Sus scrofa: one gene and its partners. The protein of the gene in region 5 interacts with the protein of the main gene of each other region in a pairwise test. Links are inferred from orthologs where the notes say so. Each region holds a gene or a part of one and is shown on either strand. Other genes may lie near its edges.

Region 1 (4,113 bases), on a different chromosome or scaffold from region 5:
CCAACAAAAAACATACATGTACAAAATCTGGCTCTTGTTACAATCTGAAATACAATGCTTCCTTCTTGGCAGTTCTTCAATAATGGCTTTATCTCACCACTTTTGGTGACTGTTTCTTTTCTTTTTTTGGCTTTTTAGGGCCCCACCTGTGACATATGGAGGTTCCCAGGCTAGGGGTCCAATCAGAGCTGTAGCCACGGGCCTATGCCACAGCCACAGCAACATCAGATCCGAGCAGCATCTGCAACCTACACCACAGCTCACAGGAACACCGGATCTTTAACCCACTGAGCAAGGCCAGGGATTCGAACCTGCAGCCTCATGGTTCCTAGTCAGATTCATTTCTGCTGCGCCACACGGGAACTCCTCAACTGTTTCTTTTTAGAATATTATGCAAGTTTTTAAAAGTGTTTATTACAATTAGGGTTTCTTGTTGTTGTGGGTTTTTTTTGTTTTTTTTGTTTTTTGTTTTTTGTCTTTTTGCCTTTTCTAGGGCTGCTCCCACAGCATATGAAGGTTCCCAGGCTAGGGGTCTAATCGGAACTGTAGCCGCCAGCCTACGCCAGAGCCACAGCAACGTGGGATCCCAGTGGTGTCTGCAACCTACACCGCAGCTCATGGCAACGCAGGATCCTTAATCCACTGAGCAAGGCCAGGGATCTAACCCGCAACCTCATGGTTCCTAGTCGGATTTGTTAACCACTGGGCCACGATGTAAACTCCTTGTTGTTGTTTTCGCTTCCTTTTTTTTTTCTCCCTTTTTTTTTTTCTTTATAGGGCCATACCCGTGGTATATGGAAGTTCCCAGGCTAGGGGTCCAATTGGAGCTGCCAGCCTACACCACAGCCACAGCAATGCCACATCCAGGCCGTGTCTGTGACCTACAAGGCAGCTCACGGCCCAATTACGTTTTGCATCTACTTGTATCTACTTACTTCCTGGGCTAAAATTTGTACAGAAAGAAAAGTTGTGATCTTATGATAATAATACATAACTAACATTTAAATAATGCTCTTACATTTTAAGTATTTTAGTATATTCATTCTTTTATCCTTAAAATACCCTCAGGTGGTTTTATTGGCCAACTGAAAACCAAGTCACTTGGCCTCACAAATAGTTAACCAGCAAAGCGAGGATTAAACTTAGCAAGCCTGGTTTTCTTCAAACATAAATGCTCTTCCATGATTTTTATCTCCTTCTCCATGTTTCTTCTTCACATGTTCCTTCTGCAGAGACTCATTAGCTTTCCTCTCACCATTTATTATATACCCACAAACCAGGCAGATTACAACTCAAAATATTCTACCTTAGCTAACAATTTTGTTCCAGCTTCATTTCATCTTGATTAATATAGGCTTAAAAAACTACTGAGTTAGTGATAAACCATTGTCTAAATTTACAAATAAGTGTCCTTCTAAGAAATGCTGGACTCTCCCCTTCAAACGTAGTTCCTCTACGTATACATCCGATTCGAGATGGCATTCTCAATACACCTGCTTCAAATACTGCTGTTCCAAAAGGTTGATTTTACATGATAATTTCTCTATTTTTACTTCTCTTTATCTTCAAATAAAACTAGTATTCGAAAATTTAAAAAATCGATTCCCTTATTCCAGAACAATTTTTCAGGTTCTATATTCATATACTTTTGTCAATTACACAAAAATAAAAGCCTTCCCTTCTCACTAACTCTCTTTAATTACAGCTATTTTCCCTGAAGGTCCAGCGCAACCCGTGCTGCACTTGCTAATCCGCGCTGACGGCTGCGTGTTTTTCTGCGAGTGCGCGAGAATCTTCCAGATGATGTGGGTCACACAGGAGCGCCGGCCATGTTGATTTTCCTCTCCTGTGGAGATCTACTCAGTCAGCCTATGAAACTTCAGGCGCTGGAGGGCTGCGGAGCCAAGGCAGAGGCTGTCTGTGTCACAGACTCTCTAGAGGGTTTATGTTTCCAAGAGGGAGCGGCTCTAAGGGCTCTAAAAGCCGAAGCGCCGCGCACTCCCCCTAGAGTGCTCACCCGGCGGGATCAAAGGCATCTGAACTGCAGAACGTCAGGAAACGGCGGCCGACTCCACATCCTGCTAAGAGACGGGCGAGGGGCGGGTGTGTCGCCGGAGATTCGAAACCGGTACTTACCAATGCGAGGCGCTGCCTGACTTTTCCTCTGCAGATTTCAGGAAGACCCTCCGTAGGTTATTGGACATTTTAGAGGGGTGGGAGGGGCCAGTACGTCCAGGAAAGGGGGCAGTATATGGGGGTCGAGGTCTCCAAGGGCCGAGAACCAGAGCGACAGAATGTTTGGCTGGAGTTGCGCCTGAGCAACTCAGGGGGGCTTGAAGCAGAAAGGAGGGCGACAACAGGCTCCCGAGAGGGCGTATCCTCAGGCTTCGGAGGGAGGCGGCGCAGCCACCAGAAACCGGAAGAACCGAAGTGACTTACGGGGTGGGACCGGCACTAGCCTCTAAGAGAACAAGCCCGAGTCTCCGCCCCGTTAGAGCCTAGGACTTCGCTCCGCAGGCATCCGGAATCAGGCGGGAGGCGTGGCCTTAATGGCACCGCCTCTGTCGGTGCCGAGCCTCTGATGAAGATCAGCCGGACCGTCTCGGCCGACCCCGCCCACCGAAGCCGCCAGCGGGAGCAAAGCTGGCCTGGCGGTTTCCGGCACCGTCACATCCTGTTGCCAAGGTGACTGGCTCGCTAAGGCCCCGCCTTTATGCTATGACCCAATCACAGGTGACATTTGCTATGTCTCCTTCCGGATCAAGTAACGAATCGCAAAAGAAAATTCTCCAGATATCTACGCAAAATAAAATGTTTCCGGGGTCAGTCGTAAATTTTCTGCTTTTATATTCGCCGTTGGTGCAAGTTTTCCTCTCCTACCAGATTTAAAAGCTAACAGAAGGCTCGTTTGGAGACATACGCATTCTTTGCGTAAGAGAATTTTAGACGCCTGCCTATGGCCAGCGCCCGTATTATTGCTACTTCCTGAGGGTTTCTCGATTTTATCCGCTTTCTTCAGTCTTTGCCTCGAGACTTATCCTCCCCTTGCCCTCCACCCCATCCTTATACCTCACGCGAAATTATTATCGTAGGTTTTCAGTCTCAAAAAATTTAATTGCCCACATAGGCTTATTTTTTGCATCTTTATCTGGATCCCTGGATAAAAATTTCTCATAAGTTTTTCTAAGAAGTCAAATCAGCTATCCAAGAAGTGGTTTAAGTCTCAGGTTTAAGAGGTAGACATTCTAATTTAGCTGGGGCTAGACGGAAGTTGTGGGAGGAGTGCTTTAGAAGATCCAGTTTTATCAGCTATAGGCAGTAAGGATGTAAACTGACTCATACTGTTAAAATTTGGGAAACTGACATAAAGTAGCCAAGTTCCAGGTTTATTTTTGTCCCTTAAAAATGAAGGTTACTCATTCTCCTAACTCCTTAATGAGCTAATACTGATGAAAGATCTTGTCCTGATATAGAAAGTAATACTTATTGTTTACTCTTTAGTAAAAGTTAATTTTACTGATACCGAATCCTGTATGTCTAACTGGCATTTATCTTTCATTCCGATATCTCAGTACTAGGAGTCAGGGTGGTGAGCCCGTAATACTGTCTTTTTTTTTTTTCTTTTTTTTTCTTCCTTTCTGTCACGCACATGGCATGCGGAAGTTCCTGGGTCAGGGATTGAACCAACACCACAGCAAAAACAAAAGCTGCTGCAGTGACAATGCAGGATCTTTAACTGCTGTACCATGGGAGAACTCTCCTTACACTGTCTTGGTTTTGGTCATATTTCTGTCTGTGAACGCAAAATTACTTGAATGAGTTGCCCATTCTTGGCTTGTTCAATTTTCTCACTATTCATTTCTTACTTTGCAGTTTGGCTTGTCCTCACATACATCAGCACTTCTTATAAATGAGTTTCATTGTCGCTTATTGGCTTCCCTTGGAAGCGGAATCTTGAGATATAATTTGATGTACAGGAAGTTTATTAGGGATCAGTGTGGAAGGGAAGAAAAGGGAGCAAAATTGGGCAGAGGGAAAAGTTAGCTTGTGATACACAGTCTCAACAAAATCTTATGTTTTTGCACCAGGAATCTGCTGAGATTTTTCTTTGCA
Region 2 (3,956 bases), on a different chromosome or scaffold from region 5:
TGGTAATGGCAAATTCTCTCATTTTACCTCTGGACCTGTTTTAGAGATGACAGATTCTTCGCTTTTAGAGCCTCTCTTTATCTACAGAAAAATTTTCCATATATGATCCTCAAAAAACACTAAGGATCTAATAAAACAAAAAGGGAGTTTAGTACATTTGAGATTATTAAGATTGTTAATTTTAAAACAGTTGTGTTTTGTTAAACTAAGAACCTTCTGTAAATAGTTAACTCAGCGACAGTGACCAGGCAGGCAGAACCGGCTCTCGGCCGCAGTCTTGGCGCCTGCCCGTCACCTGGGCCTCGGGCCTGGGCCTCTAGAAGCACTTGCTTCTCACTGCTTCTCTCGAAGGACCAGCCACCTGCTCTGGGAAGCTCTCCTTGGCTCTTCCTTCCAAGCCCCTCCCAGGCTGCTCTGGGGGCGGGGCCGAGGCAGCCCCTGCAGGTGACCCGGCCTTTGGGCTGCACTGAGAGGGGCTGGACGAGGGGCAGCTCCGGGCCCGGGGCCGTGACGTCAGGGCCGAGGGCTCCCTGTGGACACACGGTGTCCACCTCGGCCTTGAGCCGGGAGAGCTGTGAGCCCCACGGGGCTGGGGAGGAAGGAGACCCGCGGAGCCAGCGCCCAGGGGTCGTGGCTACGTACCGAACACAAAGTTGTCGGGCCTGAAGATCTGGCCGAAGGGTCCAGACCTGACCGAGTCCATGGTGCCCGGCTCCAGATCCACCAGGATGGCCCGGGGCACATACTTGTTACCTGTGGGGACAGAGCTGGCCTTAGACCTGCGGTTGGCCGAGGAGGCCCGGACGACGCCCTGCCCTGTGCGCCTTTGGCGGCAGAATTCACCCCAGAAGGTGCCAGCCCGAGGCACCGGGGGAGCTGCGAGGAGGTTTCTGCTCTACGAGGGGGCTGATGGCTTTGCTCGGTCGTGACAAGCATGCAGGGGCCTTAGGACGTGTGCTCCCGAGCAGCGGGCGCTCAGGGTGGAGGCGGGCAGGACGGACGTGGCGTCCCCCCAGAACAGAAAGCAAGCGGAGGGGCCCCCGGGTCCCAGCAGTCACCAGCGGCTTCATTGTAGTACACGTTGATCCTCTCCAGCTGCAAGTCGCTGTCGCCATGGTAACTGCCAGTGGGGTCGATGCCATGCTCGTCGCTGATGACCTCCCAAAACTGGGGAGAAAAGGGGAACCACGTGATGGCCTGGCATCCTAGGTGCCGGTAAGGCGGGCCCTTTGCGTCCTCACGTCCTTGCCGCAGGGGCGTGTGGGCTGACAGTCGAGGTGTCCTAGACAGACTGCCAGCTGCCCGCCCCGTTCCTCCAGCGGCTGCTGCTCAGGGCTTGGGAATCCGCAGGGCATGAGCCATAATATGGCGACAGACTGAGGAGCCGGGAGGGGCCCGAAGGAGGGGGGGTGGGCACAGCAGACGCCCTTCCAGGGGAATCGTGGGTGCTGGGGAGGCCGCCACCCCCGGGCAGGGCTGCGTGTCAGCCTGGTGGAGGATGGACGGGTCCTGGCAGGACCCAGGACCATTGGGACCCCGCCCTGTGGCTGCCTGCAGGCATCCCTGTCTCCTGGCACAGATGGGACCCAGCCCCCCAGCAGCGCAGCTCAGCTCTGACATCTGCACTGCCCTCAGCAGCGGCAGCAGCAGGATGGCGGGGAGGGGCGGGCAGAGCTGGGGGCCCCCCTGGGGGCAGTGGCCGGAGCTGGCGAAGGTGAGGGTGCAGGCTGCATCATGAATTTGCAGCAGGGAAGGGGCGGGAGCCCGGGGTGGGCAATATGGCGGCCCTGAGAGAGCCCACGTCCTTGGGCAGGCGCCCGCCCACCCCCATGCACCAAGCCGCCGGGCCTCGCCCACGGCGGGCGCCAGCCACAGCTCCGGACGGCCACCTGCCGCCTCGCAGACGGAATCAGACTCAGACGTTATATGTCATCCCGTCTAGATGGTGCTGGCATAGAGAGATCTAACCTCGCCTGTGGGGCCCAGGAGAGTTCTCCACAACATCTGTCACCCAATGACACTGCATTTTTTTCATTCAAGCTATAGACAAGATACACGAATTAAATTCCACACGGTCCCTGGATTAATGTGACAGCAGCCCCTAGCCAACGCTCAGAGGGCATTCTACCAGGGAAATAGCAACCCCGTCCCGCAGAAGGGCCGGGTCAGAGGAAATTTCAAAGGGCCTTGATTAAAGGCACACACAGCTGCGTGGCCAAGCGCATCGGGGCAGGTTGTGTGGTTCCTGGGCCCCGCCCGGCGAGCGCGCGCGCCGAGAACGCGCCATCCGGGCTGCCGCCCGCTCCCCAGCCCCTCTCGGGCCCCAGGGTGCTCCCTGGGGGTCCGCCACCCTCTCCTGACCCCTCCTCGGTCCTCACCCTGGGAACCCGGGCTCCTCTGAGCCCTCGCCCTTGGGACACGTCGCCCCCTCCCCTGCGCGCACCCTCGGGAACCGCCGGCCCCTCCCGGGCCCCGACGCGCACCCTGGGGACCCGCCACCCCCTCCTGACCCTCCCGTGGTCCTCAGCCTGTGGACCCGCGCCCCATCCCGGCCCTGCACACCGGGTTTCGCTGTCCCCTGCTCACAGCGCCCCCCCGCAGCGTACACTCTCGGGACCCGTCCCCGGCGCCCACCTTGGCGCCGATCTGGTTGCCGCACTGGCCCGCCTGGATGTGCACGATCTCGCGCATGATGCCGGCTGCGGAGCTGGTGGAAGCGCGGGCCCTGAATTGCGTGGGGCAGACCGGCAAACTCCGACGCAGAGACCTGCGGCCGCCCCTCGGCCGCGCCTTTTATAGCAGGGGCCCCGCCCCCCGCGCGGTGACGTCAGCGGGCGGGGCGCGGGGGCGGCGGGGCGGCGGGGACTGCGGCACCGCGAGGGGGAGCCGGGGCGCGGCGCGAGGTGCGGGCCGGGGTGGGCCGCGCTGGGCCTCGGGGCGGCGGCGCGCGCCCCTCGGAGCCGCAGCCCAGAATTTTCTCTGGAGTCTGCGGCGCTCCTCGGTTCCTTGCCTCCCGGCAGGGTCCTGAGTCCTGGACCTCGGGCTCTTTCTGGTCTGGGTGTAACGCCCGGGGCGGGCGCAGGGCGCAGAGAAGGGGGCCAGGCGAGGAGGGTAGGGTGGGGCCCTTTCGCCTCTGCCCCCCTAAGGAAGGTGCTGGGTTTGGCAGGGGCTAGGACGAGTGGGCGCTGGGTCTGTCTCATGTCAGCTTTGGGTGTGGGGTCCTTGTGAAGGCCGCGACACGTGGAAAATTCCGCGAACGTGCGTGGCGGAGAGACGATGTGCCAGCCAGGCGGCCGCCGAAGCGCGTGCGCCCTCCGCACGTTCTGTCACCTAATCCCCAGGGCTCCCTTTAGAGCTCGAAGTCCAGCTCCAGGCCATCCGGCACACGTGGCCATTGATCTCCTGAAACGTGGGAATCCGAGTTGAAATGTCCTTCATGTAAAATCCGCGTGGGACTTCGTAGGCCGAAGAAGTTGAAAGCACGTAAAGTAGTGCATAGCATTTTACATGCTGCAGTATTTACAGTGGCTACTGGAGAATTTTAACTCTCGCACTTCCGTCCTCCGGAAACGTGATGACCATCCCAGCCTCACGGCTTTGGGAAAAGAGGCTAAAGAGATGACCAGCTGCAGAGCTAGTAAGTGACCATGTCTCGCTTCCTTCTACAAAGAGAAAGCCCCGGTGAGTTGGAAAGGCTTGGTCAGGGTGAGGCAAGACCCAGCCTTAGTTACTGTCCCCGCCCATCCTGAGCAGGGGGCCAGGTGTGCAGGGCCCTGGGACTGCTCCTTTCCTCTCTGGGGCCAGTTTCTCCAGCTATAAAGTGGTGGTAATTACAGGTGCCCCGCAGCCAGCTTTGTGAGTCGGAAATGAGCAGCTCTATATGAAAGCGGGTCAAGTTTAAGGAGCAGCAATACCCCCATAAAATCTAAGGTGATGCTGTATTATAAATATTAAGC
Region 3 (3,500 bases), on a different chromosome or scaffold from region 5:
GAACCATGAGGTTGTGGGTTCGATCCCTGCCCTTTCTCAGTGGGTTAAGGATCTGGCCTTGCCTGAGTTGTGGTGTAGGTTGCAAATGCGGCTCGGATCCGCGTTGCTGTGGCTCTGGCATAGGCCGGAAGCTCCGATTGGACCCCCAGCCTGGGAACCTCAATATGCCACGGTAAGCAGCCCTAAAAAGACAAAAAAAAAAAAAAAAAAAAAGAAGTCAGCACCACGGAAAGCTCCTGGCCAAGAGGCTGGCTTTCTAGACCCCGCCCCTCTGAAGAGCCTGCCCAGATTTAAAGATCTCTCTACAGTTTAAAAGGGCAGATTCGCACACCAACGTGCAGAGCTGCTCACACACAGAGACGCAGGATGGCCTGGTGGGGAAGAGGACTTTTATTGGGATGTTAGTGGGGGACTCCAGGGAACAACAAACACTAGGACCAAGCTTAAGGGACAATAAATTAACATACAAAACAAATTAAGCTGAGGAGGTCCCCAGTGGGGAGGCGGCTGGGACTACCTGGGGGTTTCTTAGGGATGGAATTTGGAATTGGAAAGGGGAAATAAGAATTTCCAGCCTCCTCACAATAAGTGTGAAATGAAGTTTTTCCAGACCCCCTCCCTCCAGGCTGGGAGTCGGGGTTCTGGGGCTCCAGGAAGAGGGAAGGTTTGGGCTCAGCCGAAGGGGTGAAGGGGGCTGGTTCAGGGTCGTTCCTCCAGGAAGCGGTAGGTGGGGTTCTCGTAGCCATGACGCTGCAGTTCACGAAGCTGCTGCTCCTCCAGGGTCAGCATGGGGTCCACCTGCAGTAGGGGCAGGGGACAAGGGGGCATAGATCTCACAGCCCCGCCACGCCCAGGCCCTGGAACTCCTCCCCAGTCCAGGTCTTTGTGCCTCTCACCTCAACCACCCCGTGGCTGATGGCCCCGTAGGGCTTCTTCCTGCGCAAGAGCAGCAAGGAGAGGACAATCAGGGAGCCCCCACCTGCTCCCATGATCAGCAGACCGGACACGGCCTCTCGGGACACGCCTGTCCCGGCTGGGGCCTGTAGGGAGAGGAGATGCGACCAGGGTCATCTTTGAGGCTCACCAGGGCTCTGTGGTGGCTTTGGGAGTCACAACCTAGTCACTGACCTCCGACCCTCCCCCTAGGTACCCAGAATATTCCTCCTCTTACCAGCTCATCCCTCTGAATCTCCGATGAGTGGAAAGGAAAACCCCTTGGAACCGACATGTTCACCTGCGGGAGCAGGAGGTGTCAGGGACCCAGGAGTCAGGGCCCCCGACTCCTCCTCCCCTGGGCCCCAAGAGGGCACCCCCCCTTCCAGCCTTATTCTTCCCTAGGACCCCAAAGTCCATATCCTCAGTCCCTTCTCCCCTCAGGCCACAGAATCCCAACCCCTCCCACCCACCTCCTTCAGCCCAGGCCCCCTCTGGTCCTCCCTCAGGCGCCTGTGCAGTTCTGATTGACTGACCTTTCGATCGTACTGCTCCTGGGGGGTCGGCTTCTCTTTTCCAGAGGATGCAGCATCTTGTTCTGTGGACCCTGCCCCCCGAATCCTATCTCATTCCTCACAGCCACCCCCGCCTGAGGAGGGGGTCAGAAGGGGCACCGGACCCCCCCCCCTTCAGCAGGCCTGGGGGTCCCAGGGTACAGGTCCTTTTCCATTCTAGGCTCAAGGACTCAGAGGGGTTTGATGGCAGGGGGCTGCTCTGTGAGGCACTCACCTTTTGGAAGGGCCACGGGGGTGTCTGCTGGCAGCCAGAGGAGGCAAGAGGGGTGGAACAGTGAAGGGAGGGGAGCATCACTGAGGAGGCTGAGGGGAGACCCTCTCCCAGAGGCCAAGCAAGGAGGACCAAGGACCCCACAGAGTCCTCCCAACCTCACTGCTCCCTTCCACCCTCTCTCTCTTACTGTGGTGGCTAAGACACCTCCAGACTTTACGGGATGAGAATTGAGCCCAGGGGCCTGTGTCCCAAAGTCCAGGATTGTCTCAGTCTGGGTTAACGCACCATCCTTGGCGTCCAGAGGCTGCAGCCCACTCTTGTCCTCACTGCTGCCCCCCGGGGCGGGGGCTTCCAATTCACTGGGACCCAGGTGTTCAGAGCGGAGGAGTTCCTCTGGGGGGAGCACGCAGAAAGGTGAGCATAGGGAGCCATGGAACAGAACTGGGTGGATGGATGGCGCCCTAACAGAAGGGTGGGGGGGGTAGCCACCCATGGGATCTAGGGAAGCGGGGAGCTGAATGGACAAAGATGGAGGTGGAAGCTCAAGGGAATGGCCTCCTTAATGAGCAGGAGGATTAGGGTTGAGCATGGGACCTCCATCCAGGAGGAAGCCACAATAGACCTGGGGGCTGTGGTGGGTCACACTTTCTGATATTTATGCTCTTGTGTAGGCCCTGTTGCTTGAATCTAGACTGGGTTTATGACTTGCTTTAGCCAACAGAATGCGGGCACAAGCCTTAAGAAGGCCTGGCAGTTCCCACTTTTGTGCTTGGGGGAGCCTGAACCACACATAGGAAGTCCAGGTGCCCCGCTAGAGAGACCATATGGAAAGGCTCCATGGAGAAGAGAGGCCCTGAGTCTCCACGGAGAGGAAGAGAGGCTCATGTGTCCCAGAGTCCCAGACCCTAGCTGATCCGCTAGCCAGACATAACTACATGCTTGACTAGTGACAAGACCAGCAGAACCCGGACCTGCCAGCAGAATCGTGAGGAAAGAAAATGGGTGATTTAAGGCACTAAGTTCTGGGGTTTGTTACACAGAGAGAGAGGTAACTGAAGTGGCCGGGGGGGTGAGCCAAAGGCTGGGGGTCAGGACTTGGGTACTCACGGATCTGGGGCCGCAGCTCCTGGGCCAGGAGGGGGTTCTGGTCAAGCAGCCCCAGGCTCTGATTCATCCGTTCCTCGATGACTTGAAGGTGGGTCTGCACCTGTGGGGGAGCGAGTATGACGGATGAACTGAGCCGTGTAGGCTGGAGATGGGGAAACCGAGGCAGGGGGAAGGAGGAAGGTTCATAGGGTCCAAGGAAAAGTAGCAGATACAATGGATGGGAAACAGGGTATGAGGACCAGGAATTGGGCCACAGAAGGAAGGAAACGGGAGGGGAAGCAGGATGCAAAGAAAAGATGTACAGAAGACAGGAAGTGGGAGTCTTGGCAAAGAAGGTGGGGAGGAGGAAAAGCTGCAGTTGTTAGGAAAGGTGGGGCCCAGGAGACAAGGTGAGTAGAGGGTACGAGGAAGATGGTATAAAAGTTAGGAAATGGAGGGAGGTGGGCTGGAGGGGCAGGAAGGAGGGTCTGAGGAACAGAAAGTGAAGTTTGAAGGGGTTCTGGAAGAGGAAGTGGGATTGGAGGGTCCCTTGGAAATGAGGAGGTTCAAGGGCAGGACTTGGCATCACGAGCATTGAACGGAGTATCCTTGGGCAGCAAGAGAACATCCCAGAAACGAATTAGGATCTGAATGCACAGAACAAGGCTTTCAGGGAGAGCACGTGGGGTTAG
Region 4 (4,188 bases), on a different chromosome or scaffold from region 5:
TTTGATCCCTGGCCTTGCTCAATGGGTTGGAGATCTGGCACTGTGAGCTGTGGTGTATATCGCAGACACAGCTGTGGTGTATATCGCAGATCCCGCCTTGCTGTGCCAGCAACTGTAGCTCCGATTCAACCCCTAGCCTAGGAACTTCTATGTGCCGCAGTGTGGCCCTAAAAAGCAAAAAAATAAATAAAAAGCAAAGTCCAGGTTTTGCCAAGTGTATATACATCTTATACTTAGGGAATAAGAATTTCTGCTTGTGGACAGCATGACTCTACTGATCCAGTGCCTACTCTTAGAGCCTTTCTTTCCCTCTCCCTAGTCTTAATAGGTTTCAAGTCATCCATACCTATCCAGACTCCCTTTAACCAATACTGGATCCAGCTGGTTGGCCTGAGGTACACAATCTGTGGTTATGAAATAGAGATTTTTCTCTATGTTAAATGGCTCTTGAGCGTTAGCTCATACTTATTTTAGCCTTTTTGGCACAATGTGTTCCTATAATGGGATTCATATTTAAGAAATTAATAAAATATTGAAATTGTAACATTCAATAATGGAGGAAATATTGAATATATAACAATCAATGAGAATGGTATTCATTCAACAAATAATTTTTAAACATCTGTGACTGGCCAGGAATTACTACAATAAATAAGCACTTCAGTGCCCAGGGAAAATGATAAATACTTACTGAGATTTTACCACATCCCAGGCAGTGACCAAAGTGCTTAAGTGCTTCTCTTGAATTAACACAACAACCCTCTGATGAAACTGAAGCCTAGAGAGATTTATAACTTGGCCATTCTCACATTAGCTTTTGGAGCTAAGATTCAAATCCAGATGTCACACTGCATGACCTACTGTACCAGGTGGAGTGAGAGATGCAAAACTCCTTAAAATACACAATGAGAAAATATCCCTAACCATGAGGAGCTGACAAATTGGTTAGGGTAGTGAGATTATATATAACGGCAACCTGAGAACAACACACGATGACATTAACCCAAGTGATTTATGGCAGAAAGACTACAAGGGCTATCTGTAGCACAGAAAAGAAAATATGAATTCTAACAGCCAAGAGAAGATGGGTCTTGGAGCCTATCAATAAGAATAGGAGTCAACATAAAAAGAGCCAAGGCCCCAAGTAGAAAGGAAGAAGAGGGTTAAATTGGGGATTTGGGATTAACAGCTACACACTACTATATGTAAAACAGATAAACAACAAGGACCTACTGGTTAGCACAGGGAACTCTATTCAATATCCTGCAATAACTTATAAAGGAAAATAATTTGAAAAGGAATGTGTGTGTGTATACACACACAAATAGGTATATGTGTGTGTGTGTGTATAACTGAAACACTTTGCTGTACACCTGAAAGGTTGTAAATCAACACTTTCATTTTTTAAAATGAGGGAAAAAAGAGATAGGGCATTTCGTACTTAATTGTTGGAGAAAATTTTATGTTATATAGAAGGAGATTCAATTACACAGGTCCATAAAATAAGAGATCCAATACCTAATGTTTACTGCCTTCTGAATAGAAGGCACTGTGCTAAGCCCTATACATGGATCCATGTCATCCTCACACAACCTCCGTAAGTAGGTCCTTTTACCATACTGGTGTCTAAAGAATAAGAAAACAGTCTTAATGGGGTCAAGTAACCTGTCCATGGTCATGATGTTAGTAAACAGTGAAACTTGAAAATTTACTCCCAAACCAATTTTTAATCTACCATACTACACACACAAAAAAATTGTTAAGCATGGGAATGACGTGATAGAAAGAGTTTGGTAGGGCTAACATTTAAAAAGACTAGAAGAATACAGGGTCATGTTAGTTACTGGGTAATTCAGAAATGAATGAGGGAGGCCAAATGTAGGCAACGGGAATGGAGAAAATGAGACACTGTTTAACTTGCATATTACCTTGCACTTTGTAAATTGAGAAATTTAATAAGATAAACTTCTGTAAAGTCTTCTGCTGGGTATTCATCTAGAGCATTATACTGTTCAATTGCACCATACAAAGCAAATCGCTCAACTAATTCCTTCATGGCTCCGACTGCAGGAACTCCTTGTATTAATAAGTACCGAGATTCCAAATTGATCGTGTAAACCTATAAGAAATCAGACACATTAAATGTATTTCACAAAGAAGCCTGGGACAAATCTAATCCTATATTTTTTTAAAGTTGAAAAAAACACCTTTCGACTGGTTTGCATAAAAACAGGAAATCTAAAAACTTGCCCCTCTCTCTACATAATGAATAGTTTACCCTTCTTGCAAAGGCCTTTAGCTAAAGCACGTAACATTATCTTCCATCAATGTGTTTTCCACAAATTAGCTCGGTAGAAGTTACAGGGACGAGTTAACAAGTATTCGCTGAGCGTTTACCATGTAACAAGGACCACTGTAAACACGGAAGATACAGTGACTGAAACACAGCCCTCTTCTCACGGAGCTGAGGTTCTAGCAGTAGACTAAAGAGCACTCAAGCATCTTTGGTACTTGAGTACCAGCGTTTTTCATATTCTTCTTCAGTTAATCGATGTGACCGCAGCCTCTCAAGATGTTATTTACGTAAGCTGGGCATGTGAAGCTGGAACTCACAGAAAGCTACCGGGGATAGCGATTGAAACCAAAGTCACTTTACCCTGACAGCGCGAGGGCGGCGCCCCTCTCGATACTTGGCCCGCGAGTCGCATACAGCCCTTTGGACGTGGTGATCGAATAAGCCTCCTAGCTGCCCGCCGCTCAACGCCATCTTGCCGGTGTTATCCCTCGCGAACGACAACATCCGCCCCGTTGCCCCACCGTTTACCCAATAAGAGAGAGGGGTGAGTTAAGGCGTTCCGAGATTGGCTGAAGAATCGACACCGTCGGCCATCGTTTCCTGTGAGCGAGGATTTGGTGAAGAACGTGTCGCCCCCCAGCGGCGCGGCGGAAAGGCCCTGAGAACAGGCGCAGGCGTGCTGGCCCCTCCCGCTCCGGATGCGCCGCGGGGCCTTAGGGGGCGGGGCCGATCGATCGTCTCCGGGTCCGACGCCCGCGACCTGCGGGGTTGGCCCGGGAAAGATAGGTTGGGCGGCTGGGGGTCGGTGCCTGCAGACAATGTGGGGCGGCGATCGCCTGGCGGGTGCTGGCGGAGGCGGGGCGGCCGTGACGGTGGCCTTCACCAACGCTCGCGACTGCTTCCTCCACTTGCCGCGGCGCCTTGTGGCCCAGCTACACCTGCTGCAGGTAAGGCGCCCGCTTGGTGCCGGGCTCTCACCACCGACTTGGGACAGCTGCTGGCCAGTCTGCGGTCGGCCGAGACCCAGGCCTTTTAGGGACGCAGCGGCCGCTCAGGCCTCTCCCGGCGGCGGGATTAGGGCTGCTTTCCCAGCCCCGCCGACCGGTTCAGAGGCCACACTGAGGACCCCTTGCGGGCAGGGCTGGCCTGGGCGCTCTTGACAGCCACATCACGTCTAGTGCAGCACGGCTTCTTTGAGTTGACCTGCTGTATTCCAGGTCTTTTACTCGCCGGAACTGGGCTTTGAAACGCCCCGATATTCTCCCTCTTCGTTCAACTATTCCTCACTCCAGGTTGGAAAAGCTCTTGAGAAGTCGGGTTTGTTTGTCTTTTGGGATTCTGTTCTGTTTTGTTTCATTATTAGAAAACGTTTTTCCTGCCAGCGATTTCCAGGTGCTTGCATGGCTGTGGTCCCGGCCTTCAGAAAGAGGGGCGGACTTGGTTTGTGAAGTCTCTATTGGTTAACAGAGGTGGAGCCCTGTGTCCCACGAGCGGGATAGATTAATATGAACCTTCTTCCTGTGTCTCCAAACACCTCCGGGGTGCTCCAGGAATGTGCTGTGGGAGTATGCATACTTGGTCATAGGTAGTTAGAATTCCTTGAACCTCTGTTTTCACTTGCGCTCTGCACCTTGTGGTTGTGGCGGTTCATAGCTCTAACACTTGCATGGTTACAGAGATGCAACATCTGTATTTTCCTAATTGTAAAGTGGAGACACCTGGTTTACGAGTTTGAGCGTGCTTGCTTAAGGGGCTAAAAGGATAGGCTGTTTGAAATCTTCGAAAATCCTGAATGCATAGTACCCACTGGTTTGCAGTAATTTCAACAGTTTGCAATAATTTCAAATATCTCCCTTTTCCATTTTAGCTACTTCTCTGTAACTCCTTTTCTA
Region 5 (3,164 bases):
GTTTGGGAATCAGTCTGACCCTTGCACTGCACCTCTGGAACCTGGGACCAAGCAGAGCCAAGGGGGAGGGAGCAGCCGGGAGGATGGGGAGCCTGGCACCCCCTGCGGTGCAGCCTCGCCTCCACACAAGCCGCCCACAGCCCGGTTTTCCGAGGCACAGCAGAGCTGGGCTTCTTGGCTCCTGGACTGTCAAGTGTCTGTTCACAAACTCTGGCCTCGCAGCACGAGCTGGCAGCACGGACCAAAGCCTCATCTTTCCAGCCTGGGCCCCGGGCTCCATCTACCCTTCTTGTCTGGATGCCCAACCAGACAGAAGAGCCAGGAAAGCTTCTCTGGACACGCCTCATGGCCGTCTCTCAGCCAAAACCGGTTGCGGCGAAGAGACAGCGGAACTAGAAAAAGAACTGGAGAGAAATCCCCGCACCCGAATCACGTCAGCGCTCTCCGCGGCGAGGCCCGGGAAGCCCCAGGCGGTTTGAGAATGTGCTCTCACCACACAGTAACTTTTCCAGGTGGTTATTCATGGCAGAGAACTTGACAGAAGGCCACAGCCCTTCCCTAAAAGAGGAGCCCTGGGAGCTGAGCCCCGGAAGGGCTTGCAGGCCACAGGGAAGTGAGAGTGCCCCAGTCTGGCTGTCCTCAGAGGGGCTCAGTCTGTGTGCGCGAGAGGCTCGGTGCCAGCCAGAGGTGGGGGCTCGGGCTTCCCAGCAAGAACAGAAACTCGGCAGCCAAAGCCACAAAGGGGGAAGAGGCCAGCAGCACCCCTGTCAGCGGCTGTGGCTCCAGCCTCACCCCGGGGGAGCGGAGGGGACGTCTGCCGGGGCCAGACCCCTCGCCACGGAGCTGCCAGCTCCGGCCTGGGGCGGCCTGTGAGCAGCGGCCCAGCAGCGGGGACGGGAACTGAGAGAGGCCAGCGGGCGGCCCAGGAGGGAAGTGTGCCGAGCAGACCGCCGGCCTCGGCCGGAAGGGCGGGCAGCTCCTGGTGCTGGACAACCGCCCCCGCTTCCTCCTGGGGCGCAGGCGGCCTCCGGGGCTCAGCGGCGGGCCGGCGCCTCAGTTGGCCTGGCTGCACTGCAGGAGCTGATGGGGGCCGAACAGCCTCCTGACGCCCAGCGCCAGGCCGTTCTCTCTGTTCTCCTTGCTGTCCAGCCCGATGGGCAGCCCTGTCTTCTTGAAGTAGCAGAGGCGGCACACGGAGTGGTACTTGTCCGCTCCTCCGATCACCTCGACCTGGACACGGGACACCAGGTGCCTGGACTGAGGGGGGCGCGGCGGCCCCCGCCCCGCCCGCCCGCGCCCCCGGGAGAAGGCAGGGCAGCTACCTCTTTCTCCACGCCCAGCCTCTTGGTGTAGGCGGCCTCCCGGAAGCACTCCATGCACACGGCCGTCAGCTTCACCACGCTCTCGGCCAGGGGCACCAGGTTCAAGATGCTCCCGAAAGCCTGCGGTCCCACCAGAGACGGGCGCTCTCAGCTCGCCCTTTCCCGGAAAGGCTGCCTCCCAGCACGGAAGCCAGGGACCGAGGCCCTGCCCTGGCCTTCCCCAGAGCCCGGCGCCTGCAGCCGGCGGACCCGGTCCGCGGCCCCAGGAGCCCGTCTCTGCACGGCCCCGGCCCCCCGCCTCCCGGGTCCCAGGCCCGGACGCCTTACCTTCCTCTGGAAGGTCCCGTCCAAGGCGGCCACAATCACGGTCTTGCCTTCGTTGGCCATGGTCTCGCTGAACTCCACGATGTCAGGGAACTGGGGGCGGGAGAGGGGGTGAGGACAGCTCCCGCCTGGGCAGCAGCTTCCGGGAGCCACAGAGAAGGTGCTGCCGGACCCGACAGCTCCGGGCACCCAGTCGGCGGGGAGCGCGAGACCTGGGCAGCCCCAGCCCCTTGCCCGGCGCACAGCTGCATGTCCCCAGCAGACCCAGGCCCCCCTCCAGGTCAAGAACCCGGACCTGTCACCAGGGTGACGCAGCCCGGCTAGAAAGGCGGTCTGCCACTGCAGTGTCAACAGCTTGGACCAGAGGCTGCCTTGGGCTTGAACCATGGTCACCCGTTAGCTGTGACCTGGGCAATGACTTCAGATTCCCGAGCCTGGAAAAGACAGGGAGGGCTTTGGGGGGGGTTAAGGATTAAAGACCCTCAAATAATTTATTCTCTTTGGCTGAGAGGTAGGCTGTGTGCCTGCCACTTAAAACCCAACAAAAAACAATGTGCCATGCGATGCCTTGAGAAGGGGTGGCAGTTCCACGGTCCCGGCACACCCTTCTAAATGCAGGGTCTGCAGCAGGCCGCTTAGTTGGTGACTCAAATTTCATTTCAAGTGGCCCAGGGTGAGGCTGCTTAAAACCCTTTGGTGGATTTTCACTGGTCATCATCTGTCGAGACGGACCTGTGGGTTGGGTGAAGTGGGGATTATTCTTGCCTAGAGGGTCTTTCTCCAAGCCACCCAGGCCTCACTCAGCCGGATGTTCGAGAAGTTACCAAGACAGGACCAGGAGAGGCGTTAGAAACCCCTCTATGCAGCGGGATCCACTGAAGCCAGAGCTGACCGCCCCCTGGCAGGGCTGGAGGGGCCTGAGCTCTGGAACGGCCGCCCCCACCCAGAGGCTCCAGCTGACCCTGCCCCAGGCGGTTCTTTTTCTCTGAAGGACTCGGGTCACAGAAATGCAGCCCCCACCTACAAGGAGCTGTCAGTAAGTGCCCCCCGACCAGCTGTCACAAAACTGTTTCCAGACATTGCCAGATACCCACTGCGGCGGGGGTGGGAGAGGAACGAATCCCCTGCACTCCCCCTCCCTGCTGAGGCCTCGTCAAGAGGCAGGTCCTTCCACACCAGGGTCTGGGGACCTCGGAGGGTCCTTGGCTTCACCTGTGGTCAGAGCACTCAGCTCTTCCACCCGGACTTTGTCCCCTGTTCACACGCCCCCCTCCCCAACACCGACCCTGGGCCCCCAGCAGGGGTTCCTGGGTGATCGAAGGTAAGGACAGAGCTGCCTGGGTTTTCTGCAAAATCTCAAGATGCCCACGGGTAACCATGTTGCTGGCGTTGGATTTTATTGCCATTCATTTTTAGGTTACATTTTGGGTTGAGTTGTGTCCCTCTCACACCTCAAATCCATGTTGAAACCCTAATCCCCAGCACCCGAGTGCGACCTTATTTGGAGAGGGTCTTTGC
Region 6 (4,243 bases), on a different chromosome or scaffold from region 5:
GAGTCGGGGTGCGGGGCAGCGTGCTCTCTGCCTTTTAAGCAAAGGTTATCATCCTGCGGGCTAAACTTAGCCACAGGCTTTTCAGCTGGAAAAGGGGGCTGGTCTCAGGTTACGCTGGGCCAGCAAAGAGGCCCCAATTCCTTCCACCAGCACCTGCTAATGGGCAACGTCCATTCCACCCTCCCCCCACCTTCCCTGAACCTTCAACACTTCAAGTCCTCAGAACCAACCCATCTTTCATCCTCTGCTCACAAACCTGGCCCAGCCCCAGCTTCTGAGGGACTGGTCTTGGAGAAGAATGGATTTCCTCCTCCACATCACGTCTGGGAAGGGGCTAGGGGCCCTTGTCCCCACCCTGTGTCCAAGACCTCCCAATCTTTTCCCTCTTATGGACACCTCACCCTGCCCCCAACATCCCCTGGGCGCAGCCAGTGAAAGGGAGGCCCTGACTGCAGGGCTGGCCTGCACGTCCCAGGATGGGGAGGGACTTCCGCTCTCACGTCCTGCTCTGCCCAGGGCTGGATGGGGTGAAAGGGACATTGTCTCCCAGCCCGGGCCGCTCAGCCCTCAAATTTCCCAGGAGCAACTTTGTGGGAGACCTCTGAGCCTCTACCTGGCCAGCCCCCCAAAGCGATCCTGTCCCCTCGCTGAGGCCCCAGCCAGCCAGGGCCTGGGGGAGAGCAGCTGGTGCACACAGGTCCTGGTTTGTCTGCTCGATTCTCAGATGTCCAGGCTGCCTGTCCTGCAGGGCATCGTGACCTTCAGTGCAGAAACTTCCCTCTCAGGCCTCCTTCCGAGCCTCCTTCCTCTCCAGGCCTCCCACTGGCCAGGGCCAGCCGCGGTCCCCAGCCCGGGGAGGCCAGGAGCCAAGAGAAGGGGAGGGGGGAAAGGGGAAGGGGGCTGGAGAGGGCCTTGCTGGAGGCCCCTCCCGGGCCTTTTCCTCTGTAGTTCCTGGGTCACTACCGAAGAGCCTCGAGAAGTTCCTCAATCTTCCCGCTTCTCAGCTTTTGAAGGGGGGGGGGTAGGGGAGACTGCAGCCGCGAGCTGCGAGCCGCGCCCCCAACCCCGGGTTCCGCTCCAATTTCCCATCCCACTGGCTCCCCATATCCTCCCGTTACATCCCTGCAGCAACTTTAACGTCCCTGGCTCCTTGGGTGTCCTCAGTTTTCGCCAGGGCCCCCTCCTCCTAGTCCACTGCCCCCTGCAGTACAACCCCAACCGGGCCAGGCAGCATCACCGGTCCCCTCCCCCTCTCCGTCCTCAGCCCACTTGTGTGGCGCGTGCACATTGGCAGAACCAGGCGGGTCCAAAGGAAAAAAAAAGAAGAAGTGGGGGTCGGCTACTCGCGACTTTACGGGCGCACGTAGCTCAGGCCTCCGCTGCTGGAGCTAGGACTGGGCGAGGCGAGCCCACGTCACCCCGCCCCCGCCCCGCCCCCTGCCCTATAAATTCCGGCTGCAGCCTTCCCCTGCGCTCTCTGCTCCTCCCCGTTCGACAGACAGCCGTGTGTTCCGTGCATTGCCAGGTAAAGCCTGGCGGAGTGGAGCCACAAGGGTTCGAGGACTGGTCCGAAAGGGACCGGGGGCCGTGCGCGGTCTGGGAGTGTGGGTGCGGGGCCCCGGCTGGAGCCGGAGTTGTGGCTGCGCCGGGCCGGGCCCCTGCATTGCGGGTTGAGGGGGAGGAAGGACGTGCAGAAGAGCAGAGCGAGGATGGAGGCCTGGGGGAGGGGCGGGGAGGGCACCGTCGGGCTCCAGCCGCTTTGCCCCGCGATCTAATGTTCTCTTTCCTCTGCCGGCAGCCGCGTCCCTGAGACACGATGGTGAAGGTCGGAGTGAACGGGTGAGTTAGGGGGTGGGGCAGGGTGGGGCAGTAAGTACTGCAGCCCCCACCAAATTGCGTCCGCAGGTCTCGCCCTACCGGGTCTGTGCAAGCATGTGGGGGACTTGGATGGGGTGGTCGTACCCCACCCCCAAGGAGAACTCAAGGTCAGCGCTCGGACCTGGAGGAGGCCCTCGCAAGGCCTCGTGTCCCCCATCCCTGGCTGTTGCGCGTTCTGTAACTCCGCCTCTGCGGAGCCTTCCTCTTCACCTGCCGCAGATACACAGCCCTGGAGTCTCCAATTCTTGCTTTGGCCCCATCCCCTAATCCCCCAGCTGGGGCTCTTTCTTTCCTTTCGCGCCCTGCGGGGTCACGTGAAGGGGAGGAGCCCATCCCCCCAGCCGCAACCAGTGCCCCCAGCCGGGCAGCCCCGGGATGCAGGAGGCACAGCTGCTGTGCAGAACCAGCTGGGAGGGGGCATCTGCGGTAACCTAGCCGCCATGTTGCAACTAGGAAGGAAATGAATGAACCGCCGTTAGGAAATCTTCCTGAGTCCTTCAATCTTTCTCCTTACTTGCCCATGACTAAGCCTTCTACCCCTGCCTCGTGGGGTGGAGTCTCCTTTATCCGGTAACCCAGGTCCGGCCACGCTTTCCCCTTCTTAGTCAGCTGGACCTCAGCTCTTAGCAAACTAACCCTAGAGCATCCCTTCAAGCCCCAGCCAGATTCCCCCCCCCGGGGATGAGGGGATGCTTTTTCTGGATGGTTCTCTGATGAATCAAAAACGGGGCTTTATGGGGGTGGTCTTGGGTTGTTTCCGGGTTGTTTCCCTTCTCTTTCTCCGGAGAGGTGTGGTAGCGTTGGCTTGGTGCCATGCCGGGGGAGCTGAGTCATGGGTACTTAGAAATTTTCCACAAAATGGCTCCCGGAGCCGGCGGAGCCGCAGCCCCTGTCTCTGCATCAGTGCTCCTTGAAGCTGCTTCCTTCCATCCATGCCTAGGGTTGACCCCACCCTAAAGGCCAAGCTGTAAAGGTCACCAGGAGGATTAGATGTCCGTGAGCCTCGGGAATCCTGCCCTTCTCCCCATCCCCTCTTCCAGAAACCAGATCCCCACTCCACCCTAAGCTGGGGTTAAATATAGCTGCCTGACCTTTCTGCAGCTGGGGGCCTGGGCTTCTCCCTCTCCTTCCCCCCCGCTCCCCACACGTCTATTGCTCCCACTCCTGATTTTGGGAAAAGAGCTAACAAAGACAGGTTCCTAACAAATCAGAAGCCCGGGATTCTGGGTTTGAGAAACGGCTTTCCCTTTTGTAGGAGGGACTTGGGGAAGGGGGGGGGTTTCCCTGGCCAGTTAACTTCTGACCTTTGCTCTTGCCCTTTGAGCTGGGTGATGCCAAGTGTGCAAGATTTTGCTCCCTAGAGGGTGTGGCCTGAAGCTGGCCAGATAGGAACAAGCATTTACCGACAGTGGGCCTGAGGAATGCCATGTGCCGGCCATGTGCCCAGACTGTAGGTGGCAGCAGCAGTGCACCACCCTGTCACCCCTTAACAGATTTCAGATGACCAGGGGGTGTGGGCCTGTCTCGGAGCTTCATCACCTCTTGGGCAGGATGGGAGCTTTTCACTTTGTGGCTGTGCTGGGAAGCCAGGCTGGTCTGGCAGGGTTGTGCGAGGAGGAGGAAATGAGATCTCCTGGTAGGAAAGTGCCCGCGCTGACAGCGGGCGCGTGGGCCTGGGACTGCTTACATCTCCAGGAGAGCTCACTCCTCCCTCCTCGCCTCTTGTCCCCCTCAGATTTGGCCGCATCGGGCGCCTGGTCACCAGGGCTGCTTTTAACTCTGGCAAAGTGGACATTGTCGCCATCAATGACCCCTTCATTGACCTCCACTACATGGTGAGTGGCCCCCGTGGCGGGGGCGGGGACAGAGCCTGCCAGGGCGCAGCCCCTTGATGCCCTCCCTCGTCCCCCCCAGGTCTACATGTTCCAGTATGATTCCACCCACGGCAAGTTCCACGGCACAGTCAAGGCGGAGAACGGGAAGCTTGTCATCAATGGAAAGGCCATCACCATCTTCCAGGAGTAAGTATGGAAGACGGAACCGGAAGAGCTTTGCCTTGGAGGAGGTGGTGCTGGGACGGGGTGACCACCTTGGGTCTGTGGTCCCCCGCGCCCCTGAACTTTGTCCTGTCTTCCCTTCTAGGCGAGATCCCGCCAACATCAAATGGGGTGATGCTGGTGCTACGTATGTTGTGGAGTCCACTGGTGTCTTCACGACCATGGAGAAGGCCGGGGTGAGCGGCAGGGAACCGAAAGAGGAGGGGACCTAACCGCGGGGTTGGTGTAGCGGGGAGACTGGGGGAGGCTGACTTGGACCAGGAAAGGGGAAGCCCGGGTGTCTGACTGCTCCTCTGCTGCAGGCTCAC
Region 7 (3,500 bases), on a different chromosome or scaffold from region 5:
AAACAGTGAGAAAAGGTAAGAGGATAAGAAAGAGGGAAAAATATGGCACAGCTACAAAATCATCCTATTACTATTTTTTTGTCTTTTCAGGGCCACACCTACAGCTCATGGAGGTTCTCAGGCTAGGGGTCGAATTGAAGCTGTAGCTGCTGGCCTACGCCACAGCCACAACAACGCCAGATCCAAGCGACCTCTGCAACCTACACCACAGCTCACGGCAATGCTGGGTCCTTAACCCACAGAGGGAGGCCAGAGATCAAACCTGCGTCCTCACGTCCTTATTATTGTTGCCTTGTGCTCCTCCATCCCACCCAGACCCCTGCCTCCAAAACTCTTCAGAAGAAGAGTACCAGGAAGAGGATCCTGACTAGGCTGCCGTCCACCTCCTCGACTCGGGACTTCCACCATGTGCCTTCCCACTCAGTCTTGATGAGCTGGCCACTCTTGAGCAGCACCATGGGGCGGTTGGGGTAAGCAGTGATATACTCCTCTATGAAGTCTCGGCAGGAGATGTCTTCTATGTCCTCCCAAGTCTTTTTCACTGTCCCAAGGAAGAAGCAAGGCTGAGAGAGGGCAGGTAGGGCATGTCTTGATAGGAAAAAATAGTTGGCAAGGAGATATTTGGTATTTTTCAAGTTGAGAGGGAGAGAAAAAATAAATGAAGAAATCATAATCTCAAGGGAAGCAAAACCAAGACCACCTGAAATGTAATACACTTATTGTGTAAAAGCACATGCAAATTAAGTAAATACCAAATAAGCAATATGCAAACATAGGTGGGTCACTTGTTTTCACAAAAATGGATGTTTCTTCTTAGGAAAAGTCAAATGGAAATTCTTGCTAACTTGATAAGCCTAAAGGTAAATCAAAAAAGAATCAGGCAGCACCATGAATTAAAAAAAAAAAAAACAACGAAAAACAAAAACTGCCCTTTCTTCTCAAGCTCTATCAGGTTTTTCAGACCCTGAATGTATTTATGCATGTTATGTGGAAACATAGACATGTTAGCTGACTCTTCTACAATTAAAAACAGTTGCTTCAGCAAGAGTCTCTCCCAAGCTAGAGTCATAAGTATAGAGGACACCCCATCTAACACAGCTTCTCTAGAAAGCACCATGCAGACTACAGGTTTATATAAATGTTAGATTAAGCATGAGACTAGAGAAGTAACATTTTCTCAAACCTAAATCACTTAGAAATGAAATCAAAACACTTCTACAATATGAACATCCACTCAAGGTCAGTCATGATTTTCTAAAGTCTCACTCTTTGGCTGCAAAGACCCAGCACTAGAGGTGAGCAAATAAAACTGTATTTCTCAAAGGATGTTAATCAAACTTAGGCTCTTTGAGACTAAAGCACCCAAAACATTAGAGCATGTGGCAGTTCCTGGGCCAAGGATGGAACCTGCCACAGCAGCGACCCAAGCCACTGCAGTAACAACGCCAGATCCTTATCCCACTGCGGCACATGAGAACCCTGGGCTTTTTAGTTAATTGTCTTAAGAAGAAATACAAGGTAGAGAAGGAAATGGAAAGAACTAATAAGGAAGAAAGGAGGGACACTCACGTGGCCGGCAAATGGGATACAGTTCAGACTCGGTAACATAGGAAGCGTAGCCATCATCAAAGAAAATGAGAAACCTGAACGGAAAGAGTGATGGTAGAAAGATCAGAGGTTATGATTTTTAACACGACCTAAAGAAATTATCTGATCATAGCTTCTACTCCTCTGGATTATAAACAGGACACACTCCAGGGAAGATGTTCCAGTGAAATACTTTCTTCTAGCATTCTTTCCTCCCATCCCGAGTTAAGAATTCTCCCTTAAGCTTACCAACATATCCCCACTTTCTCAAAAGCTATTTGGTCTTGTTATACTAACAGATTTCTACACTGCTGAAAAACATTTAGTCTCCATTTTTTTCCTTCTATATGAATTCTCTATTCCCCTAACCATTAATCAATCTTGATTATTCTCCACCTACTGAGTTTTCTTCTTGAGAAAAGGGAAAAAAAGGGGGGGAAGTGGTGAGAAAGAATCACCACCCAACATGACTCCTGTGGCAAAGAAAGAGAAAGGTTTTCTGGCCACTGGGGACTAAGAAGGCAAAAGCTAATTGTGAGATCTGGACTATGGCTTGAACAGGGCAGGTGCTGTGCTCTTGGCTTCTCCTCTCTTTACATTCCTCTGTCCAGGTACCTGTTCTTGTTTTTGACGTTTGGTGTCTCAGCTACAATGCCAGCATAGAGCCAGACCTGATTCCCATCTTTGTATTTGGCCACTACTCGACTGCCCACATACAGCTTGTCAACAGGAGGGTGGTGGTCATAGGCAATATGGTTCCCTGACAGTAGACTCTTTCCTTTGTTGTCAAATTTCACCTTGTACTTCTTTCCTGGCCCTGAGTAAAAGAGAAAGATAAACAAAGTTTTTAAAAACCATAAGTTTCCGTGTGAATTCGGGTTGCTATGTGAGACACAAAAGGCAAGACTGTTGGGGAAAGAAACAATCAGCAATGGAGACCTGCAGGTTGTCTTTCATTAGTTCTTCCTCTAGCTTGAACATACCAACTGTCTGGATGGCAATAAGGGTGCCTTTGTGCCATGTCTTAGTTCTCTTCTTGCCCAGTATGCGCATGCCGACTGTCAGGTCACCATCTTTGGTCAACTCTCCAGTCATCTGACTCAAGGTTCCTAGGAAAAAAATCAACGTTGTTCTAAAGAGATATAGCATAGACTGGAGAGAGAATGGAAAAATAAAGAGGGTACTTGGTTACTGTGGCAAATTGGGTAACCTTTGATCCACAGCCACTTTTACTGCTGTCTTGGTCAAGGGCAAAAATATATGACACAGCCGACTGGACTGTTTATACTAACAGGAAAAACTTGAATAACTGAATGTAATTCAAGAACATCTCATTTTAACCAAATAATTCAAACTCCTTATTAATAACATTACCCCTCATTAAATGTCAAATAACATTTATAAAACATTTTCCTGAGAGAGATCTCTTAACAGCACCATTCTACAAAGCTTTGCCACACCTCTTTTTAAGAGTTTTGAGTCACTGTCTTCTCTCTAACCTGCACCTGGAAGAAGAGATCATAAACATGGAGCTAAAACGGTATTTGGAAACCGAGCAGACAAAAGACTTAAGTAGATAGCAAGGAAAACCTGTGGTGTTAAAAGAACTCAAGAGAGGTGAAGGATTCTGAAATGCCAAAACAAAACCAGTCACCCATGAAATCTCTGTAGGAATTCATGACCCCTCCCTATACTTAGGAACCTCTTGACCCTAACCTTTGTGAAGATCCTGGGAACTGCTCTTCTTGTTGACGGCATCCATGAACTTCTGGACATCTTGAGCCGACTTTCTTAAGGCAGCCATAGCTTCACGAAGCTGTAATGAAGGGGATGAGGGAAATAAATTTTAAAATAGCACGGGCTAAAAACAGTTTGTGAATAAGAATTTTTCTTTTTCTGACTGCAGCAGCTTG

Evidence for each region.
Region 1: the proteins of TK1 (region 5) and LRIF1 interact in a two-hybrid assay, tested with the Homo sapiens proteins (2 studies listed by BioGRID and IntAct). The link is inferred for Sus scrofa from reciprocal best matches to the Homo sapiens genes TK1 and LRIF1.
Region 2: the proteins of TK1 (region 5) and tubulin beta-2A chain interact in a two-hybrid assay, tested with the Homo sapiens proteins (2 studies listed by BioGRID and IntAct). The link is inferred for Sus scrofa from reciprocal best matches to the Homo sapiens genes TK1 and TUBB2A.
Region 3: the proteins of TK1 (region 5) and APLP1 interact in a two-hybrid assay, tested with the Homo sapiens proteins (2 studies listed by BioGRID and IntAct). The link is inferred for Sus scrofa from reciprocal best matches to the Homo sapiens genes TK1 and APLP1.
Region 4: the proteins of TK1 (region 5) and RBM48 interact in a two-hybrid assay, tested with the Homo sapiens proteins (2 studies listed by BioGRID and IntAct). The link is inferred for Sus scrofa from reciprocal best matches to the Homo sapiens genes TK1 and RBM48.
Region 6: the proteins of TK1 (region 5) and GAPDH interact in a two-hybrid assay, tested with the Homo sapiens proteins (2 studies listed by BioGRID and IntAct). The link is inferred for Sus scrofa from reciprocal best matches to the Homo sapiens genes TK1 and GAPDH.
Region 7: the proteins of TK1 (region 5) and SETDB1 interact in a two-hybrid assay, tested with the Homo sapiens proteins (2 studies listed by BioGRID and IntAct). The link is inferred for Sus scrofa from reciprocal best matches to the Homo sapiens genes TK1 and SETDB1.

Annotation. Positions count from the first base shown.
Region 1 is NC_010446.5:109,270,253-109,274,365, reverse strand, and holds the start of LRIF1 (ligand-dependent nuclear receptor-interacting factor 1), read right to left. Parts: upstream 2,801-4,113; 5' UTR 2,205-2,800; coding exon 2,137-2,204; intron 1-2,136. UniProt on the Homo sapiens protein: Together with SMCHD1, involved in chromosome X inactivation in females by promoting the compaction of heterochromatin.
Region 2 is NC_010449.5:1,911,869-1,915,824, forward strand, and holds the start of tubulin beta-2A chain, read right to left. Parts: upstream 2,801-3,956; 5' UTR 2,692-2,800; coding exon 2,635-2,691; intron 1,168-2,634; coding exon 1,059-1,167; intron 754-1,058; coding exon 643-753; intron 1-642. UniProt on the Homo sapiens protein: Tubulin is the major constituent of microtubules, a cylinder consisting of laterally associated linear protofilaments composed of alpha- and beta-tubulin heterodimers.
Region 3 is NC_010448.4:45,292,225-45,295,724, reverse strand, and holds the end of APLP1 (amyloid-like protein 1), read right to left. Parts: intron 2,930-3,500; coding exon 2,830-2,929; intron 2,116-2,829; coding exon 2,008-2,115; intron 1,750-2,007; coding exon 1,723-1,749; intron 1,541-1,722; coding exon 1,470-1,540; intron 1,235-1,469; coding exon 1,172-1,234; intron 1,041-1,171; coding exon 897-1,040; intron 799-896; coding exon 700-798; 3' UTR 376-699; downstream 1-375. UniProt on the Homo sapiens protein: May play a role in postsynaptic function. The C-terminal gamma-secretase processed fragment, ALID1, activates transcription activation through APBB1 (Fe65) binding. Couples to JIP signal transduction through C-terminal binding.
Region 4 is NC_010451.4:72,443,423-72,447,610, reverse strand, and holds the start of RBM48 (RNA-binding protein 48), read right to left. Parts: upstream 2,801-4,188; coding exon 2,657-2,800; intron 2,120-2,656; coding exon 1,929-2,119; intron 1-1,928. Other genes in the region: PEX1 (peroxisome biogenesis factor 1), read left to right, coding at 2,995-3,243. UniProt on the Homo sapiens protein: As a component of the minor spliceosome, involved in the splicing of U12-type introns in pre-mRNAs.
Region 5 is NC_010454.4:3,792,161-3,795,324, reverse strand, and holds the end of TK1 (thymidine kinase, cytosolic), read right to left. Parts: intron 1,740-3,164; coding exon 1,650-1,739; intron 1,443-1,649; coding exon 1,323-1,442; intron 1,231-1,322; coding exon 1,054-1,230; 3' UTR 501-1,053; downstream 1-500. UniProt on the Homo sapiens protein: Cell-cycle-regulated enzyme of importance in nucleotide metabolism. Catalyzes the first enzymatic step in the salvage pathway converting thymidine into thymidine monophosphate.
Region 6 is NC_010447.5:64,131,221-64,135,463, reverse strand, and holds the start of GAPDH (glyceraldehyde-3-phosphate dehydrogenase), read left to right. Parts: upstream 1-1,443; 5' UTR 1,444-1,525; intron 1,526-1,798; 5' UTR 1,799-1,816; coding exon 1,817-1,839; exon of another isoform or gene 1,840-1,932; coding exon of another isoform or gene 1,933-1,985; exon of another isoform or gene 1,986-3,613; coding exon 3,614-3,713; intron 3,714-3,792; coding exon 3,793-3,899; intron 3,900-4,020; coding exon 4,021-4,111; exon of another isoform or gene 4,112-4,237; coding exon 4,238-4,243. UniProt on the Homo sapiens protein: Has both glyceraldehyde-3-phosphate dehydrogenase and nitrosylase activities, thereby playing a role in glycolysis and nuclear functions, respectively.
Region 7 is NC_010446.5:98,276,239-98,279,738, forward strand, and holds part of SETDB1 (histone-lysine N-methyltransferase SETDB1), read right to left. Parts: intron 3,404-3,500; coding exon 3,304-3,403; intron 2,697-3,303; coding exon 2,571-2,696; intron 2,405-2,570; coding exon 2,203-2,404; intron 1,644-2,202; coding exon 1,570-1,643; intron 542-1,569; coding exon 351-541; intron 1-350. UniProt on the Homo sapiens protein: Histone methyltransferase that specifically trimethylates 'Lys-9' of histone H3. H3 'Lys-9' trimethylation represents a specific tag for epigenetic transcriptional repression by recruiting HP1 (CBX1, CBX3 and/or CBX5) proteins to methylated histones.